Bombyx mori: one gene and its partner. The protein of the gene in region 1 purifies or fractionates together with the protein of each later gene. This does not show direct contact. Links are inferred from orthologs where the notes say so. Each region holds a gene or a part of one and is shown on either strand. Other genes may lie near its edges.

What was found. Proteins that work in one complex are often made in the same cells at the same time.
Region 2: the proteins of E3 ubiquitin-protein ligase MARCHF5 (region 1) and dynamin-1-like protein purify together in Homo sapiens (affinity purification with western blotting, with the first as the bait; 3 studies listed by BioGRID). This does not show direct contact. The link is inferred for Bombyx mori from reciprocal best matches to the Homo sapiens genes MARCHF5 and DNM1L.

Annotation. Positions count from the first base shown.
Region 1 is NC_085132.1:5,309,517-5,312,326, forward strand, and holds part of E3 ubiquitin-protein ligase MARCHF5, read right to left. Parts: intron 1,900-2,810; coding exon 1,709-1,899; intron 708-1,708; coding exon 347-707; 3' UTR 1-346. UniProt on the Homo sapiens protein: Mitochondrial E3 ubiquitin-protein ligase that plays a crucial role in the control of mitochondrial morphology by acting as a positive regulator of mitochondrial fission and as an important regulator of immune response.
Region 2 is NC_085119.1:10,597,241-10,600,763, forward strand, and holds part of dynamin-1-like protein, read right to left. Parts: intron 3,498-3,523; coding exon 3,352-3,497; intron 2,776-3,351; coding exon 2,632-2,775; intron 1,394-2,631; coding exon 1,220-1,393; intron 103-1,219; coding exon 31-102; intron 1-30. UniProt on the Homo sapiens protein: Functions in mitochondrial and peroxisomal division.

The DNA.
Region 1 (2,810 bases):
TATCCAAAGTTATTTTTAATAAAAATTATCGCATTTTATAATTACCAAATTAAAGACAACGACCTAACATTTTTAATATATACAAACAATTACGTACAAATCTTAAGCTGTAAGTCGTATTTTTATACACACATATATTCAGAACATATTAATTACATAACGATTTCAAATAATAAAATTTGGGAATTTTGAATTTTTTTTTTCTATACACCCCAAATTTATATTTCATCAAACAATACTTGATAACGATTAATAAAATCGATTTTTTACATAATAATATATTCTGAAAACAAAAAAAACGAACAAAAATATTATAATTGAATTCCATTACGCGACTAGTTTAGTTTCAAACGACTTGTTCGCTGTCGTCCCTACTGGAAACGGCATCGGTCGCTAGGGTTGTCGAATTCCTGTATAATTTCAAATTAGATTCCGTGTAATCCAATATCTTTCTACTGGAATGCCTCACGTACAGCATTTGTTTGTGATATATTTTCAAGGCCCCTTTCAACGTGATATAAGTCAGGCCTCCGAGCATTGTTCTGTGGAGGTTATTCTGTATCGAACGGAAGAATATCTTTCCTATGATCGTCGATATCGTTGGTAGCAACAGAGCCGAACAGAATATCCTTGTCGGGGATAGATGGCTCGCGTTTGGGTTCTGTGGCGTCGTCTGACCGGCCACTATAGCGCGATCATTGTCTACGCTGCAATGAGAGAAATTTGTATTTTCAACTCTGTTATTTATATTTTAAACTAATTTTCCTGGTGGTAGGACCTCTAATCCGCGCGGGTGGGTACCACCACCCTGCCTATTTCTGCCGTGAAGCAGTAATGCGTTTCGGTTTGAAGGGTGAGGCAGCCGTTGTAACTATACTTGAGACCTTAGAACTTATATCTCAAGGTGGGTGGCGCATTTACGTTGTGAATGTCTATGGGCTCCAGTAACCACTTAACACCAGGTGGGCTGTGAGCTCGTCCACCCATCTAAGCAAAAAAAAAACGTCGAATGACGGTTAACTAATTTGGCAAATTCTAATGCAGCAGAATCAGGAAAGTTTTCTCGAAACACACTATTTTTTTCTGGCTGATAGGCTTGAGAGGCTATTTTAGCTTCACGCCAGCGTGTAGGTGAGCTCTCGGCGCTCAAACCGGAGGTTGCTAACACAACCCTAGCAAAAGCAGTGCTTCGCAGAATCTACCACCGGATCGGAAACGCGACCCACTGAGAAGATCCGGTGAGAAACCCAGTAGGCTGTGTCTATGGGTTAATACGAAACACACCCTAATTGATGAGTAACACCAAACTAAGGTTTTTTAAGAACGGATTACCGGTGGCCCGGAGGCCTTTCCAGTTTCACCAAGACAGGTCGGTTAGCAAGGGCTCAGCTAGTTGGGATGGGATTATCTAACAGCCGCCCTAGCGCCTCCAAAGGAGACCTAACAACTCAAGGGCAGCTGCTTCATGAATGCTCCAAACTAAGGTACGCTTAGCTAAGCTATGCTTATTAGTCGTGTTATATTGTATGTTGCACCGTAATCGGACCCCTTAGAACAATAATAAAGATGAACTATTTAGTCTTATAGAAAAAAAAGCTTCTCTGGTCACAATCACAAGTAACCAACAACGCAGTCAACAGGTGCCGAAGATAAACCCTTCCCATACGACATCTACACCTATGAGCACACCGATAGTTCATATACTCACTTTCCGAAAGGCAGAATATAAGCCAAGACAGGTATCTTAGCGCAGTACTTCCTGAGGAACAGGAGAACGGAATCCTCCCAGTTATACATCTTCGCACTGATGAGGGTCACTGGGATCGTGGGCAGTAGCACGAGTAAAACCAAGGGGTCCGCCGACTCCATCATCTCGAGACCTTCGCGATGGCCTACTACCTGGAATGGGTAACTTTTAAAGTTAGATAAACTGTGTGTCATGTGTTACACCGGCTCCACACGTTGGCCCCAACGTTGCTACCAACGTTGAGGGGTTAAACTGGTGAAGTGTCCAGACGTTGGCTGTTATACTAGTTCCTTTCCGTCAGAGCCAACGTGAAATTGTGCGATACCGAAATTGAAATTGCTCTAACCGCTTTTACAGTACCGAGTGCGTATAATTTATATTTGTTATTGAAAAACAAGAAAAACCCACGTCAAAAGAGATGGTGGATGACATCGCGACATGCAAACTCGACGCGCGTTGCAACAGGACTAAGCAAAGCGCCAACATGTCACACATGTGGACGGAGCGCGAACGTTGGCACAGATTCCTTTGATAAAACCGACACTTGACAACCAACTACCAATGATCGCACCAACGTTGGGGCCAATGCTATTTTCTAAATCCACACGTTGGGCGAGTGGCGTTGGGGCCTATGTTGAGGCCAACGTGTGGAGTCGGCGTTAGTGGTATATACTAGGTGTTAGGAGACCGCTTCCGAAAACGAAGACAGACGATAGTAAACAAAGTAAATTTTGGGGAGCGTGGTATCAGCGCCGCGCCCGGGCGTTCGTTGATCCGAGCATCAGTTGTTTTTGATTTTGTGTTTCATTGCTGGTTTTTTTTTAAAGTAAAGTAAGGTTTTTATGAAACTATCGTTTCATTTAGCTGTACTAACATGGTGGAACGTAAATAATGCTAATAAAAAATGTTTTAAAAATATGTTTTTTTTTTTAAATTAGGATCGACTTTTTTTTGTCCCTTCATCAAAATTGTCATTAGTAGTATCGTCTGTCTTCGTTTTCGGAAGCGGTCTCCTAACACGCAGTATATTTTTAAAATATGGTAAATTTTTCGATTGCTGATC
Region 2 (3,523 bases), on another chromosome or scaffold:
GCGACCCGAATATAACCACGCCACAATTACCTTGTACGCGTCCAATACGCTTGCCAAGAATACTAGGGCGGACCCTCTTTCACCCATTTGTCGGAGAAACAGCTACAAAAATTTCGAGATAGTAATTTATATAACCTTAACATATCGTTTAGATGAGGGCCGTCCAAATTACATACCTTTGCGGGCTAATTAAATTTACTAAAAAAGCTGGAAGGGGCCGCAGAAAAAAATATTTTCAAAAACAAAATACTTTCCAGACTAAAATATTAAAAAAAAAATTATGTAAAAGATAACTTCACTTTTAAATGATGTCATGGGAATGGTATGTTACAAGAATACAGATAAATAATACCAAATAATGATTATATGATTTGACAAAGAATTCTATTGTCCATACTATTTATATTCAAAACTATTTTCTGATTAAAACATGCGTCGCGGGCCGCATGATAACAAGTCGTTTTCTGGACAGTTCTGGTTTAGATAATACACATTATTACTTAACGGCTTGTCATACTACGATTTTTAGTTGCTGTAGGGTAGATTGAAGACTGCAGATAAGGTGTTGTTAACCCAAAGTAATGAAAATTTTCCAAATAAGATATGACCTAAAGGTCTCTGTCACCAGGTCATAAAAAAAAACTGTTGTTAACAAACAAATATATTCAGCTTTTCTTTAGTCCATTTTTGATGTTACCACTCGAATCCAGCGAGTCGAACCGTAATTGGATCTTGTCGGGTAAAGGAAAGTCTTAATAATAGTGCGTTTAATGGGGATAGCCGCAAAAGTTTAAAAAAATGTAATTTAAGATTCGAACCGACACTAAAATTACCGTTAGTCGTTGTTAATACAAACAATTGTGAATAAAACTTACCTGGGTAGATGCATGTTTATGTAAAATTTTCAATGATTTGATGATAAGTTTTTTTTTAAAACAAACAAACACGACATATGCGTATACGGCATATATAAATGATTCTGAATAAAAATATAACGACTCTCGATAGTTTTTGAGTGTATCAGTACTCAGTTTTTGTTTTAAAGATGCAAACAGTGTTTAGTAATATTTTAAGTGAAGTTCCAATTGCATGCTTTGCTTGGTAAAGTTAATATAAAACCTTTTTTTCCTTCTAATTATACGCACACACAGTCACAACACACGTGTAGGCTTAGTATAATTAGTGAAACATCAGACGTGTTCATAATAAGCGGTTTTACTTTGATCAAGTTGGATACCGGTGAGGGAGAAGGCCTGGGAGTCTTGTGTCTATAGACGGGACTGTGGTCGTCGTCGCCGCTCTTCAGCAGGCCGGACACCAGCGCCGCCTCGCGGTGGAAGTCGGGGTGCTTCGTGTTTATGTACGCAAGCTCGATAGCCACCAGGTTCTCCACCTACAACAATAATAATAATAATCATAAAATCATTTATTGCCTTTCACATTCTAAACAAAATAAAATACTAATAAAAGAGAAGAAAAAAAAGAGAAAAAGGCAAAAGGAGATGGCTCAGCTAATGCTGTTCAAGGTCGATAAATCGAACAGCGCTGATTTTCAGTCACCCCCGTTTCCCTTTGGTTCTTTGCGGGAATGAAGGCTAGGTACGTGTGTACAGACTTAAAACATGGTATAAACTAGTATAAAAAAACGAAACAAAAATCAAATTAAATGGTGAACCCGAATACAAAACATACATAAGCACACACAGTAATAACAACCTGTGGGCAGCCTACAACGAAACAACAAAGAAAATAAAATAAAATAAAAGAAAGCGCGATAATACTATGACTATTACTGGCAAGCAGCACAACATTTACACTTGTACATTATTAAAAATAATTTTGATAAATGAAAATTTTCGCAAGCAAGGATTAAACTAGTTACTATAAATACTATAAATTAAATTAGTAAAGTTAGTTAAACAAGATACTATGCGTCAGCTTTTACAACTGGAAACAGATAAAGCTATACGGGTTGTAAAGCGATGGTCTCTGACTGTATGTTCTACGAACCATCAGATAAAATTACAGCTTGTCGCATACTATCATTTTTTGGACATATCTCCCGGCGAGGAAATGACTCCATAGAGCGCTTTGTCGTTCAGGGCAAAGTAAGAGGCACCAGACCGCGTGGAAGGTTGCCCATGCGATCGATCGACAAAGTAAAGTCGGCGGTTGGCGGTTGTTTACATGAGCGTATCAAGCTCACCACAAACCGAGATAAGTGGCGATTGCCCGTGAGGCGCATAACATCTACCCACAGCATTGATACTGAATGACGACAGAATTATTGGTGGTAGGACTTCTTGTAGGTACCACCACTCTGCCTATTTCTGCCGTGAAGCAGTAATGCGTTTCGGTTTGAAGGGTGGGGCAGCCGTTGTAACTATACTTGAGACTTTAGAACTTATATCTGAAGGTGGCTGGCGCATTTACGTTGTAGATGTCTATGGGCTTCAGTAACCACTTAACACCAGGTGGGCTGTGAGCTCGTCCACCCACCAAAGCAATAAAAAATAAATAAATAAAAAGGATATATAGCAGGATATAGGTCGTATCAGGATTGTCTATCATTTTCGTTGGCGCTTTCGATACAATGGTGTATTATGAATGCTGTATAACAAATCGACTTACCATAGAATTGGTCGGAGGCAATCTAGTCCTCAGCAGCTGCGTGACGACGTCGACGATGCGCTGGTGCAGGCGTGGGAAACGTAGCATTTCCTGCTGGACTTCTGTGCCACAGTGCTGAACGATCCTCTGCATTTCTTCGTGTACCTGTGTGTTGAAATAAACGAATATAATGCTTGTTTACAATTGGGTGAAAAGGCATTAGTAAAAAAATATACTATGGCTAATAAATACCATTAATGAAATTTAAGCATAATAGTCATGTAAGTAAATACAGGGTGTGGTAAAAATATACTATGGCTATGAAATTTATTCATAATAATCATGTAAATACAGGGTGTAGTCCTATAACATATACGAAGGGCAGTTCTGGAAATGTTCACGGTAGGTATAAAATTTCAAATGCTCTATCTACTGCTTAATATATAGCACTAAAAGTAAACCTATATAGTAGTGTACAGACAGCAGAATAATTAAATAACGTTCTAGTGGTCAACAACAGCAACATAAAATAATGAGTGTATGATCATGGTATAGCTGTGTAATGACTACTATGAGTCGTTCATTTAAGAATGAAATTTAATTAAATTTTCAAATAAGTAAGCGATATATTACTAATGTATATTAATTTGCCTAATAATAATTATTATTTAATATGTTTGAAATATATTTTTAATTTTAATATTTTGTAAATATTTTTAAGATTATTAACAATAAGCATACCAGTTCAACACAACGTAACGAAGGGTCTTCCAGTCTTCTAATCTGTCGCTTGACCAGAAGCTCAAAAGATACCTCAGGGACGAATAAAGCCGGTCTAGGGCCTGTAGCGTTGCGGATCGCGGTCAAAATGTCCATGCGGGTCAAACCTGGCGACGAATACAATACATAAACT